2 linked regions of the Caenorhabditis elegans genome follow. The protein of the gene in region 1 purifies or fractionates together with the protein of each later gene. This does not show direct contact. Each region holds a gene or a part of one and is shown in the gene's direction. Other genes may lie near its edges.

Region 1 (5,145 bases):
TCCTTTCCCTTCTTGGTGAAAGTAACTTCATTCCCGTTTTTCAGTTCCGTCGTGATGTGAACGCTGTACTGATAGAACAACGAGTCCTGGTGCATCTCGATTCCGAATACGTTGGTTTGTATTTCGGCCTCAACGCCACATTTTCCTGGTTCAGTCGGTGCTGGATACAGCTTTGCAGCTGGAGCGATCTGAAATTTAACAAATTAGAAGGTTATGAAACCGATTAAACGTACATTGAGCTCTTCCAGTCTCTTGATGCAAGCGTCGTTAGACGTCTGATACTCCGATCTTAGCGGTTGAGTTGGAACTGGAACTGGTGGAACGGCAGGTGGTGCGTGGACGCTCGATGGAGCTCCAGAAGGCGTGTAGACTGATGGAAGGGCTGGCATCTTTCGATTTTGTCCTGTAAATTGATAATTAAAAGTAGTGTAGGAAGTATAGAAAAAAATGCGTTGATATATCAAGGAGGTGCGACATTAATATTTGAAACAAAAATATAAAAATAACACACAAAACGAGCATCGAAAACGACAAATTCCGCGAAAAAGGGGAAAAGAAAATACGAAATTGAAAATCGCGGTAATGTTTCGTATCGGTATAGGTTCAAAAGTGGTAGAATTACATAATTTATTACTAATAAATCCGTTGAATGATAAAAATGATAAAGCTCATATATTTAACATGCGACCTGCCGGTCCGAGAGTAAAACGAAGAAGTGACGATTTCCTTGCGCGGTGTCGACGTGTTGGGGTTTGATGTGCATGTGTGGTAGTACTGTAACACTCGTGACGTGTGTGTCTTTTGGCGCGGCTTTCAAACAGGAGTTTCCCGGCTTTGTCGTTGTTGATGACTTCCGTGGATTGTCGTGAGCATTTAGAATACGGAAAGACTTCGTAATAATCATAATAATTCTTTAATATTTCCTTGACGCATTTCCTGGGTATTAATATCATTTCTTAAGTCGTGATCGGCGGAATATCAGTATTCTGCGTATTCGCGACACTCCCGGCCCCTTCAAAAATGGCTTATTATCAGCTCGTGATACTAAGCAAGACCCGACCATTTCCGTTACCATTTTACTTCTTCATTTCTGTGTTCATTTGCTTTTGAACCCCTTACTATAAAAAGTCGTGATAGGATGAATATGTATATTCTCCTTCTTCGCGACAGGTAATCCTAAAATTCTGGGTTACTGTAGGTGACTTTCGCTGTGAGACCTTCACTAGAATTCAAATTGCCTCTCACAACGACGTTCCACCGTTACGCCTTGCGTCTTGTTTAACGTAAATCCACCTGAACAATTTCGTAGAACCAATTTTCTTTCTTTTGCTTTTTTGCTTTTCCTGAATGGAATAAATTGAAAATATCTTTAAAAGTTTTAATATTTAACAAATTGATAATTTTTCACTGTTACAATAATCTAATGTTGAATCATCCGTGTAGAAATATCTTTAGGCCTGGTTCTGTATTGATTTTCCTATTTATATTTGTATCACTCTTGTATTTCATTTGATTATCGGTTTTTTCTTATAAATGTTAAGAAATAACTAGTAAATTCAATTTTGCAGACTCAGAATGGCCGATGAGGACGATTATCAAGATATGGATAATGATGATTTCGTTGACGACAACGAAATGGAGGACGTGATCGAAGAAGATCCACAACGCCCTGACAATGAGGACGAGGACGATGACAACGTGGACGAGAATTTCGAGCTTTTCGATCAAGGAAAGGCTGTTCCGACTAGTGAGCATGTGACAACTCCATTCATGACAAAATACGAACGAGCTCGAGTTCTTGGCACTCGCGCTCTCCAAATCGCCATGGGAGCTCCGGTTATGGTTGAACTTGAAGGAGAGACCGATCCATTGGAGATTGCTCGCAAGGAGCTTAAACAACGCCGTATCCCGATCATTGTCCGCCGCTACCTTCCAGATGGATCATACGAAGACTGGCCAACCGATCAACTTCAACTCGCTGATTGGTAGAGAAATGTTTCTCTAATTTTTCCTCATTTTAACTGTTTCACCTTTTTTGCTCTCCTCATTTCTGATCTTACACTCTCATTTTTATTTTGTTCCGTTCGTATTATTCTCTTTCTCTCTCCTTGTTGACAATGTTATTTGAAAATTAATGAATAAAATTTTAGATTCAACTCGAACAACGGGAAAGATGGTCGCTTCGCAAAAGTTCTCTGATGCCGAAATCGACAGCTTTGGAGAGGCATTAAACGACACAAAGTAATCTTGTAGATTTTTTTCCAATTAATAAATGAAAATTTTCAGGAAACCTCTGAAAGCTCGTTTCCGAGCTCTATTTATTCTCCGGAATATTGGATGTGATCGTTCTGTTGACTGGATTGGAAAATGTCTGAATGACGAATCAGCACTTCTGAAGCATGAGTTGGCTTACTGCTTGGGTCAAATGCAGAACAAGCACGCCATTCCAACACTTGTGAGTGTTCTTGAGGACGAGAAGCAAGAGCCAATGGTCCGCCATGAAGCCGGTGAAGCGTTGGGAGCAATTGCTGATCCTTCAGTCAAAGATGTCCTCCGAAAATATGCACAAGATCCGTGTCCAGAAGTTTCCGAGACATGCCAAATTGCATTAGGAAGGGTGGAATGGGTTGAAAAAAGTGGAAAGGATACCAACAGCCCTTATGATAGCGTTGGTAAGCGATTCAATTAAACATATTTTGCTTATAAAAGTTTAATTTGTAGATCCAACACCATCAGCTTCAACATCCGACGTCGAAGAGCTCGCAGCCACTCTGATCGACGCTTCACTTCCACTTTTCGACAGATATCGTGCGATGTTCAGTCTAAGAAACATTAAGACAGATAAATCCATCAAAGCTCTTGCTCAAGGTCTCTACTGTGAAGATAGTGCTTTGTTCCGTCACGAAGTCGCATACGTTTTAGGACAACTTCAGTCGCCTGTTGCCACTCAAGAATTGAAGGATCGTCTTCTACTGTCAACTGAAAATTGCATGGTCCGTCACGAATGTGCTGAAGCTCTTGGAGCAATTGCCAACGAAGAATGTACGGAGATTTTGAAGCAATACGTCAATGATGAGGAGCGTGTTGTTCGAGAAAGCTGCGAAGTTGCCTTGGATATGGCTGAATATGAAAACAGTGATGATCTACAATACGCTCACGTTTAATAATTTTTTGTTGATTTCCTCCTGTTCTTGTTCATTGTTTTGTTTTCCAGTTTTAATTAAAAATTTCACCTAGTTTGTGATCCAGTTTCTAATTCAATTTACGTTTTGTCGAAATTTATCTACTTTTACCAGATTTCTCCCGGAACTTCAGACAAGTTTTACAGAATGAAGCCGTGTGGAAACCTAATGTGCCAGATCGCTCGCCGACTTCCGGCTCGCCAGCTGCATATTTCGAGACGATCCAATTCCCAGTTAGCAGATGTTGGAACTCTTTCCGAAATTGAGATGCCAGTTGCCAAACAGCTTAATATGAGAAATCATCTGCCAGCTCCACTTTCTAAACAGATGGATACGTTGGGAGAAGTTGTTACCTTGGTTAGTCGGCGATAATCAATGGAATATTATATTCAATAAATATATTTTCAGATCCGAGAACCAATGGCAGAAGTAGCAAGCTGTATGCGAGTTGTGGATAAAAGTCTTCCAGCTCTTCGCCTCGTGTTATGGGGAGCTTTCGGAACCGGAAAGTCGGTTACTCTCAATCAAGCTGTTCATCATGCTTATAATAATAAATGGGCAATTGTTCATCTAAGAAGTGCAATGGAGCTGACAAGAAGAGTAAAAGAAATTGAGATGTCATCTTTTGTACAAGGCCGTATCAATGATCCATCGAATTCTGTTTCTATTCTCCAAAATTTCAAGCAACAAAACCAACATATCTGGAAGATTCTCGGAGAGTTGCTCACTGAAAGAGATTATGAATGGTCGAAAAGTGAACGAACGTTGAAAGGAAAACCTATCACTGAAATTATTGAAATGGGAATCTCTGCTCCGTTCCTTGCCAGTGATTGTGTTGGTGCAATCTTCCGAGAGCTCCGACGCCACGCAAAAGATGACAAACTGAAGGTTCTAGTGGCGATTGATGATGCGAATTCTCTGTGGGGAAAAACTTTGGTGAAACGAGCTGATAGAACCTATGCACCACCTTCGGATCTTACTCTTGTTGTACATTACCGGCGAATGATCGAAAATGATTGGACTAATGGATGTGTTCTGATGGTTGCAGATAAGAAAGAGGTTGCAGACGCCAGGGATCATCTCGGAGTCTCCAGGCACACTCCATTGGAATTGTTTGGAGAAGAAGGATTTGAATATGTTGAGGTAAAATTGAAAGCATATATATTATCTTGAAAACTAATTTTTCAGCCATTCGTTCCAATTGAAACGTCAAATTATACGGAAGCCGAAACAGATGCAATCTATAATTACTATGTGAACAAGAACTGGTTAGCATCAAAAGCAGGTGAGAGACCGCCAATCCCATTATATTGCAATTTCCAAATTGTTTGCAGCTCGTAGCGAGGAAGGAAGGAAACAACTTATGCATCTCAGCGCATTCAATCCATATTATTACGAGAGGCTTTGTGCGTTCAACTGATTTAAATCATTATAATTTACGTTTTTTGTTGAGTGTTTCTGTTTTTTTTTAATTTTTAGGTCTCTAGTTTTATTTGTTATGAATAGAGAATGAAAAATAATGTTTTTATTATACAACTGGCCATTGTTTTTGTTGTTCGTTGTTCCTGTTCTGATCGGGATTTCATATTTATTCTCTGTATCTTATTCTATTTTTATTCATCAATTTCCAGATCCAGATCTCCATGCTCCAGCTGAAACCTCGAGTTTCGGCATTAACCCGGCTTTCAGCCGAGGTTCGATCTGCATCGCAATGGATCAAAGCAAGGTATTTGAATTTTAAATTTTGTAAAATATATATTTAATATGATTCATTTTCAGTAACTCTAAAACACCAGACGACATCAATGTTGAGAAACTCTTCGTTGAGAAGGAAGTGCAAAAGCTACTGACGGATTTAACAGAAATTGATTTGGAGCACAAAGTGTTCAGACCGCGAAGAACTTCGATTCAACAAAGATCTCATTTCGCTCTTATGACTGAAGAACGACTTGAAAAGGTTTGT
Region 2 (9,487 bases), 1.4 Mb from region 1:
AAACTTGGGGTTTCCAGAAGTTGCTGAAAATTTTTTGAAAATTCAACCCTTTTTCTACAAAAAAAAAATCGATTTTTTGTTGGTATAATAAAAAAATTGGAATTTTTTATTCAAAAAATTTATTAGCAGTTTTCAGCAAAAAAAACGGAAAAAATTGCAGATTTTAACTTTTTTCTAAAAAATCGCTGCAGTTTTTCTTAAATTCCAGTTTAAAAAAAAACCTTATCTTCTTGAATTTCTGAATATTTTCTCGTGAAAAAATGTTTTAAAATCAGATATTTTCAACAAAAATCAAAAATTGCGGTTTTTTTCAAAAATTGTTTTACAAAAATGACACAATGATTGAAATTGTGCAAATTTTATTGCAATTAATTATTGCAATTTTTTTTAATATTCAAAAAAATTTCTTAAATAAATTCAAAAGAAAATTCCAAATTCCAAAAAAAATTCTTTAAAAAAACCAACAAAATAAATTCTTTTAAAATCTAACAAAAAAATCCTTTGAAAATTATTAAAAATCCAAAAAAAAAACCCTAAATAATTTCAAAAAAATATTCCAAAACAGAAAAAAGGTGTATTTTTAAAATTATTTAAAAATCCAAAAAAACTCCAAAACAAGTCCCAAAAAATCCTCGAAAAAATTTTTTAAAAAATCCAAAAAAAAATCCTTTAAAAAGTATTTAAAAATCCAAAAAAATTATTTCAAAAAATCCGAAAAAAATTTTGAAAAGTATTAAAAAATCCGAAAAATCCTCAAAAAATTCTTGCAAAATCAAACAAAAAAAATCCAAAATTAAAAAAAAAATCGAACAAAAAAAAATCCAAAAAAATCCGAAAAAAAACCTTTAAAAAGTATTTAAAAATCCTTTTTTTCTCTAATAAATTCCTAAAATTTCCAGATAAAATGTCTATCCACTCCATGTCACACATCCGGTCACATCTGCTACCACATCACAAATCCTGCCGCAGATTCCACTTCCCCTGGAGTCGTTTTCACCGGTGACACCCTATTCATCGCCGGTTGTGGGCGGTTCTTCGAGGGCACGGCACCACAAATGGACGTGGCACTCAACGAAATTCTCAAAAATCTTCCAGTCGAGACCCAAATATTTCCGGGACACGAGTACACTGTCGCCAACCTGAAATTCGCGTGCCACGTGGAACCTGGCAACGAGAAAGCTGCTCAGAAGCTCGAGTGGGCTCAACGACAAATTGAGCAGGGTGGATTTACGGTTCCGAGTACTGTAGCTGAGGAAAAAGCAACGAATCCATTTATGAGGGTACGGGAATCTGAGGAAATTCAAAAATCGATTGGGACATGCGATGCGGTCGTGGGAATGGCCAAATTGAGAGAAATGAAGAATAAATTCTAATTTTTTTTTTGGTTTTTTAATATAATTTTCTTGAAAATTTAAGCTTTTTTCATTGTAAAATTATCTAAATTTTGGAAAAAAAATTAAAAAAAAAAACAAGAAAAAGTGTTTTTTAAAAGAAATTTTGTAATTTGTATTTATGGAAAAAATTAGCAAAAGAATTTTTTTCAGAATTTTTTTTTTCGAAATTTCAATGAACATTTGAGGAATTTTACTATTTTTTAATTCAGAAAATGTACAAAATTGGAAAAAAAAACTGAAATTTGATTAAAAATCATCTGAATTCGATCGAATTTAAAAAAAAATCCGAAATTAAATAATTAATTCAAAAAATACTCTATTCGTTTTAAATTTTTCTAAATTAAAAAATGACAATTTTTTGAAATCAAAAAATTATTTTGTTTTAATTTAGAAAAAATATCTTAATTTCGAATAAAAAACTTTCTTTTTGGTTTTTGGAAAGTTCCACAATCTGGGAGAATTTTTAGAATTAATTACAGATTTTTTGAAAAAAAAAAGAATTTAAATGATTTTCAATGAAATTTTAATTATGGAAACGAACAAAATTCTAAAATTACGAAAGTAAAATTTCCAAAAAAGCGAAATTTTTCAAAAAATTGGCATTTTTCGGAATTTTTGTTTTCGGAAAAACTTCCACAATTTAAATTTTAAACGAATTGAGAATTTTTGAATTAATTACGGATTTTTTTTGAGAAATTTTACAAAAATCGAATTTCGATGATTTTTATTTTTTTCAAACAAATTTTGGTTTTTTTTTGTTGTGAACTTTCTTTATAAAATCGAACCAAAAAAAAGTTGTTTTTTTTTTCGAAAAAAAAATTCTGAATTTTTTCTAAACTACGAAATCTAAATTGCTAAAAAAAATTGTATAAAAATCGGCATTTTTATTGTAAATTGATTTGATTTTATGTGATTTCATTCCGGTTTTAATTTCTATTTTCCTGCTAAAATGTCTATAAATTTATGCTTATTCATTTTTTTCCGATTTTTTTTGGTACAAATTTTGTTAATTCAGTTTTCAATCATATTTTATTTGATTTATTGTATTTTTTTTTTTGGATTTTTTCAAAAAATTTTAATATTTTGTCTAATTTTACACCTAACTAATAGTAAATTCAGTAAAAACCCGCCTCAATTTTTCAGAAACTTGCTCCAAAATGAGCACCAACGAAGCAGCAGCATCTCAGGAGGATATAGCACTTGCTCAGGGAGCAGTTCTCGTGAAATCATGTCAAGTACCGGATGGTTCAATTCCGATTCGCGGATTCGATTTCAGCACGGCTTCTGGTCCGGATTTCTCGCTTTCCGCCATTCTTTCGTCTTATATGAGCACAGGATTTCAGGCAACACATTTGGCTCAGGCTATTCAGGTAGCCAGTTGCAAAAAATTCAGATTTAATTTGGAAATCAGAAGGAAAATTGAAAATTTCGAAAAAAAAATTTAATTCGAAAATTCCCGGTTTTTTAATGATTTTCTGAGAATGTCAGACTTATTGATTTTTTTTGAATCGAAAAAAAATTTTATTAAAAAAAAAAAAAATTCTGGGAAAGTTGAAATTAAATTATATTTAAACATAAAATAATGTAAAAAAGAAAAAATTAGAAAAAAATCATAAAAAAATGTATTTCGAAAATGCTTTTTTACATTTTTTAGGCGGAAATTTTCCTTTTTTTTATGATTTTCTGAGAAAGTCGACCTTTTTTATTTTTTTTTCTCAAATTCCAAATAAAAATTTTTTAAACTTATAGTTAAATTTTTAAAAAATTTTGAAAAAATCGCAAAAATTTTTATTTTTAATTTTTGAAATAGTCGGACTTATAGATTTTTTAAAATAAAATTCTGGAAGAATTTTAACTTCAAAAAATAATTTTTTTTACAAAAAATTTGGAAAAATAGCAGCAAAAAATTGTTTTACTCAATAAATTCCGAATTTTCCCAATTTTCAGCAAGTAAATCAAATGCTCTCCCTCCGTGATACTCCGTTGACTTGTGACGACGACGAGAAGCTTTTCCCATATCCAGAAGGTCGGCAAAAGAGATCATGTACTATTTTCCTCGGATACACGTCGAATTTGGTGACCAGTGGGCTTCGTGAGGTCCGTAAATCTACAAAAGATCTACACAAAAGTTGAAATTCCTCGTAATTCTACACGAAAACTATGTTTACCGTAAATCTACCCAAAATTGATCTTTGTAAATCTACACGAAAACTGAATTTCCCCGTAAATCTACACGTGAAAAATTAGTGCTTCCCGCAATTCTACGAAAAAACAATTAAAATTCCCCGTAAATCTACACAAAAATTGAAAGTCCTCGTAAATCTACACCTGAAACACTAGTGCTTCATGTAAATCTACCAACAAATTAGATTTACATGAAGTAAATCTACAACAAAAATCAAAGTTTCTCGTAAATCTACACCTTAAAAAGCTATGGTTACCGTAATTCTACACATAACTGATTCTTCTTGTAAATCTACACATCAACTCTAAAAATGACCCAAATCTACACTAAAATGTCCCCGTAAATCCACACCAATCCCCGTAAATCTACACAAGAAAAAATATATTTTTCCGTAAATCTACACAAAACTGAATCTCCCCGTAAATCTACACAAAATTGATCCTCGTAAATCTACACAAAATTGAATTTCTCCGTAAATCTACATAAAAACGGAATTTCCTGGTTAATCTACACAGAAATTCAAATTCCCCGTAAATCTAAATAAAATTTGTATTCGTCGTAAATCTACATCTAAAAAATCCTGCTTCTCGTAAATCTACAAAAAAAAACACAATTTCCCTGTAAATCTACACAAAAATTAATACTTCTCGTAAATCTACACAGGAAAATAAATACTCAGCTTTCTCGTCAATCTACCCACAAAAACTATGCTCACCGTAATTCTACACAGAACTGATTCTCCTTGTAAATCTACACATCAATTCTAAAATTGGCCCAGAAGCCTAAATCCATTAAGAAATATTGTAAATCTACACTAAAATGCCCCCGTAAATCCACACCAAACCGTCTCTAAAAAAATTTTTAAATTCAAATTCAATGTGCTGTTATTTCTCGTAAATTTACACAAGAACATATACTTCCGTAAATCTACACCGAAATTAGCGTCTCGTAAATCTACACAAAACCTGAAATTTCCCCGTAAATCTACATAAAGGTACCGTAAATTCACTCTAAATTCGTAAATCCACCCAAATGAAAAATTAAAAATTCCAGGTACTCCGCTATTGTGTCCAACGTAACCTAGTCGACTGTATCGTAACATCAGCGGGAGGCATCGAAGAGGATCTCATCAAATGTCTCAAACCTTCCTACCTCGGTACATTCACAATGGACGGTGCAAAACTTCGATCGAATGGAATGAATCGAGCCGGCAATGTGCTCATTCCGAATGATAATTATTGTGCATTTGAGGATTGGCTTATGCCAATTCTTGATGAATGTCTTGTTGAACAAGAGGAAAAGCATCTCAATTGGACACCGTCAAAGCTTATTCAACGGCTTGGTGAACGGATTGGTGATGAATCGTCGATACTGTATTGGGCGGCCAAGCATCGGATTCCCGTATTTTGTCCGGCGCTTACTGATGGGTCATTGGGTAGGGGATTTTGAATTTGGATTTTGAAAAATAAATCGAATTTTGGAGAAAAAATTCGAAAAAACTTTGAAAATAGATTTTTTTTAATTTATCAATTTTGCAAAAAAAAATATTCAAAGATTTTGAAAAATTGGAAAAAAAATTGAATTTTTTGAAAGAATTTGTTGGCAAATTTGCCGGAATTTTTCATTTTCGGCAATTTGCCGGTTTGCCGGAATTTTTCATTTTCGGCAAATTGCCGATTTGCCGGAAATTGTCAATTCCGCCAATTTGCCGGTTTGCCGATTTGCCGGAAATGTTCAATTCCGGCAATTTGCCAAATTTTCCGAAATTTTTCAATTCCGGCAATATGTCGATTGCCGGAATTTTTTATTTTCGGCAAATTGCCGATTTTCCTGAAATATTTAATTCCGACAATTTGCCGGTTTGCCTATTGCCGGAAATTTTCATTTTCGGCAAATTAGCGTTTTGCCGGAAATATTAAATTCCGCCAATTTGTCGGTTGGCCTATTTCCGGAAATTTTCATTTTCGGCAAATTGCCGATTTGCCGGAAATTGTCAATTCCGCCAATTTGCCGGTTTGCCGATTTGCCGGAAATGTTCAATTCCGGCAATTTGCCAAATTTTCCGAAATTTTTCAATTCCGGCAATATGTCGATTGCCGGAATTTTTTATTTTCGGCAAATTGCCGATTTTCCTGAAATATTTAATTCCGACAATTTGCCGGTTTGCCTATTGCCGGAAATTTTCATTTTCGGCAAATTAGCGTTTTGCCGGAAATATTAAATTCCGCCAATTTGTCGGTTGGCCTATTTCCGGAAATTTTCATTTTCGGTAAATTGCCGATTTGCCGGAAATTTTCAATTCCGCCAATTTGCCGGTTTGCCGATTTGCCGGAAATGTTCAATTCCGGCAATTTGCCAAATTTTCCAAAATTTTTCAATTCCGGCAATATGTCGATTGCCGGAATTTTTCATTTTCGGCAAATTGCCGATTTTCCTGAAATATTTAATTCCGACAATTTGCCGGTTTGCCTATTGCCGGAAATTTTCATTTTCGGCAAATTAGCGTTTTGCCGGAAATATTAAATTCCGCCAATTTGCCGGAAATATTAAATTCCGCCAATTTGTCGGTTGGCCTATTTCCGGAATTTTTCATTTTCGGCAAATTGCCGATTTGCCGGAAATGTTCAATTCCGGCAATTTGCCAAATTTTCCAAAATTTTTCAATTCCGGCAATATGTCGATTGCCGTAATTTTTCATTTTCGGCAAATTGCCGATTTTCCTGAAATATTTAATTCCGACAATTTGCCGGTTTGCCTATTGCCGGAAATTTTCATTTTCGGCAAATTAGCGATTTGCTGGAAATATTAAATTCCGCCAATTTGCCGGAAATTTTAAATTCCGGCAAAATGCCGATTTGCCCATTTGCCGGAAAAAATTTTTTTTCGGCAAATTGCCGTTTTGCCGATTTGCCGAAAATGTTTAAAGGGATTTTTTATAAGAGAGCATCGAAAAAAAAAATTGCATTATTTTTAAACAAAATTTGCAAAAAATTGTTAAAGTTTTTGAAATTTGAAAAAAAAATTCAAAAAATTTTTATTTTAGTCAATTTTTTCAGGTGACATGTTGTACTTCCATTCGGTGAAAAGCTCACCTGGGCTTCGTGTGGATATTGTAGAGGACGTTCGACATATTAATACAATTGCTGTCAAAAGTTTCAAGACTGGATCAATTATTTTAGGAGGAGGTCCGAAATTAAAAAAAATATGTGAAAAACCCTGTTTTAGAAATTTTAAATTAATTTTTTCTCAAAAATTTTATGAATTTTCCAACATTTTTTTTGCAGTTTTCTGAAGATTGAAAAATTATTGAAAAAAATTGAGAAAAAAATTAAACTTTGAATTTTGAATTTGAAAATACCATAGTAATGAAAGCAATTTTCCAAATTTATTGTTAAATTTAATTTTCATACACTTTTTTCTAGTTTTTTCCAAAATAAAAAAATTTCTCGAAAATTTTAACGTAAAATTTCTTTGAAAAAAAGCTGAGTATGTAAAAAAAAATTTGGACTTTAAACAAAAAGAATTTAAACTAATTTTTTAAAATCAAATTCACAAAATTTGAAAAAAATGCTTTCCAGAATTTTTCCCCATTTTTGTCAAAAAATCCTACAATTCCAGGAGTCGTAAAACACCACATCAACAACGCGAATCTCATGAGAAACGGCGCAGATCATACCGTCTACATCAACACCGGCCAAGAATTCGATGGCTCCGATTCTGGAGCTCAACCCGACGAGGCAGTGAGCTGGGGGAAGGTTAAGCCGTCGGCTGGAGCTGTGAAGGTTCATGCTGAGGCGACACTTGTATTCCCACTTTTGGTTGCTGAAACTTTTGCAAAACATGAAGGACACAAGGATTAGGAATTTTTGCCAAATTTTCCCCCAATTTTTAAAACTATTTTTTCATTGTTACCTGTTTTGTTGACTTTTTCACTTGTTTGTTATTTTCTTAATACAGATTCTTTAATATTACTTTTTTTTAATTTACGAATGATTTGCGGGACAAGAAAACAATTAAAATATTTCGAAAAATCGAATTTTTGAAGATTTTTTCAAAGAACTTCAAAAAAATTCCTCAATTTTTTCTGAAAAGTTCAAAAAAAAATTAGCTGTTCAAAAAATTGTAACAAATCCGGCAATTTGCTTGCCGGTTTGCCGATTTGCCGGAAATTTTTAATTCCGGCAAATTGCCCGTTTGCCAGAATTGTTTAGAGGGATTTTTTATAAGGAAACACTTAAAACTGTGTCTTTATGAATTTTTTTCCCGTTTTTTCTACATATTTTCATAGAATTTGCTTACTTTTCAAAATAGATGTAGGAACATTCATAGGATGCGCTTAATTTTGTCATTTGAAATTGATATTCTGAAATTTCCAAAAACATAAGTGCGAAACTACAATTTGCCGAAAATTTTCGGTAAACTCCAGTTTTCCGGCAAATTCGGCACATCGGCAATTTGCCGGTTTGCCGATTTGCCGGTTTGCCGATTGGCCGGAAAAAATCGTTTTCCATCCACTGTACTGTAGCGCTTGTGTCGATTTACGGGCATCATTTATTAATCGATGAAACATCGAAAGAAAACACAAAAAAGGACAAAACAGTACGAAAAAACTAAAGAAAATTCGAAAACCGAACCCGTAAATCGACACCAGCGCTACAGTAGTCCTTCATGAAATTACTGTAGTTTTCGCTATGAGATATTTTTAGATTTAGAGATATGTTAGGCGATATGCTTTCTCAGGATTTTTGTCTTCTCGTAATATATGTTTTTTTCCTAATTTTTTTGCAACAATGATTAAAAAATTAAAAAAAAAAACCAAATCCAATTCTATAACAGTATTTTCCTGTTCTTATTTGTATAATTGACTCACTGCACATAATACACTAAAACTCATGACTCTTCTCAAAACTGACATTCTCTGAAAACTATTTGCCTATACGGTCGTAAATTCTTGTTTTTTTTCTGAGAATTTTTCAGACTTTTCCAGAATTTCAGAACCCCTTTTATGACTTTTTGAGTCACTTTAATAGACAAACAAACATTTTTCGTATAAAAGAAGTGCTCCGAGTGCTCAATTGTCCCGGCTCGTTCAATTGGAATTTTGTCCTTTTTCTTGTTATTCTTTTTATGTTTATTTAATCTAAATATAAATATTTTTTCAGATAAAAAGGCATAATGATGTCATTGAAAATTCAAATTTTTTTGTTAACATTTATGATGTGGATTTTGGGAGTCCGGGCGCAGGACAAAGATTGCATCCAGTGTGCAACATCAAACTTAATGGAAGATTGGGGAGCAACAGGACTTCCGCTGAAACCGGCGAATCTCCTGTTTGATGACAAGTGCGTTTTCATGTTATAATCATACACCTAGCGGCATAACTTAAATGCAACCAGACACCCTTATTTCAGATGCGGTACGCCGAATAGTTTAGTGAGTACTGTTTCTGGCAACTGTGCATCGATGTGCTTCGAACTCATGATTCCGGTGAACAATAAGCTCGCGTTTGTACGAGGGTGTCACGCTGATTTTGTATGGGACGAGTTCGCGTCACATAATGAGTCTTGTCATCAGTACGTGGACGATGTAACAGTTATTAAGGTTAGTTGGGCACTCTTTGAAAACATGATCAACAACTGGAAAATGATGAGAACGACAATAAAAAATAGGACAAAAGGTGTATTAAAACAAATATCTAAATAAAATAGGATTCCTTGATTTTTTTGAATACCTTATTTCTTCTATTAATATGGCTGTATCATACTATTTTTATAACTACCGCTTGCAATACTAATAGGGAATGCAAGACTATTAGGGAGTACCATACTATTTTTCTGAACATTTTTCTTTGTTGGGGCTTACTAATTTTTACTTGAAAGAACTCCAATTTTATTTGGAAGCTTCCGGA

What was found. The genes of interacting proteins can lie anywhere in the genome.
Region 2: the proteins of dohh-1 (region 1) and dhps-1 fractionate together in Caenorhabditis elegans (co-fractionation; one large-scale study listed by BioGRID). This does not show direct contact.

The regions. Positions count from the first base shown.
Region 1 is NC_003280.10:10,577,805-10,582,949, forward strand, and holds dohh-1 (Deoxyhypusine hydroxylase), read left to right. Parts: upstream 1-2,150; 5' UTR 2,151-2,173; coding exon 2,174-2,241; intron 2,242-2,286; coding exon 2,287-2,672; intron 2,673-2,721; coding exon 2,722-3,164; 3' UTR 3,165-3,241; downstream 3,242-5,145. Other genes in the region: rpb-6 (putative DNA-directed RNA polymerases I, II, and III subunit RPABC2), read left to right, coding at 1,576-1,989; dap-3 (Small ribosomal subunit protein mS29), read left to right, coding at 3,330-3,539, 3,591-4,325, 4,371-4,467, 4,517-4,602; mrps-22 (Mitochondrial Ribosomal Protein, Small), read left to right, coding at 4,826-4,908, 4,962-5,139.
Region 2 is NC_003280.10:11,990,464-11,999,950, forward strand, and holds dhps-1 (Deoxyhypusine synthase), read left to right. Parts: upstream 1-2,537; 5' UTR 2,538-2,551; coding exon 2,552-2,764; intron 2,765-3,341; coding exon 3,342-3,491; intron 3,492-4,632; coding exon 4,633-5,014; intron 5,015-6,635; coding exon 6,636-6,764; intron 6,765-7,197; coding exon 7,198-7,439; 3' UTR 7,440-7,547; downstream 7,548-9,487. Other genes in the region: Y17G7B.3 (hydroxyacylglutathione hydrolase), read left to right, coding at 900-1,373; Y17G7B.23 (DUF281 domain-containing protein), read left to right, coding at 8,797-8,921, 8,991-9,180. UniProt on the Caenorhabditis elegans protein: Catalyzes the NAD-dependent oxidative cleavage of spermidine and the subsequent transfer of the butylamine moiety of spermidine to the epsilon-amino group of a critical lysine residue of the eIF-5A precursor protein to form the intermediate deoxyhypusine residue.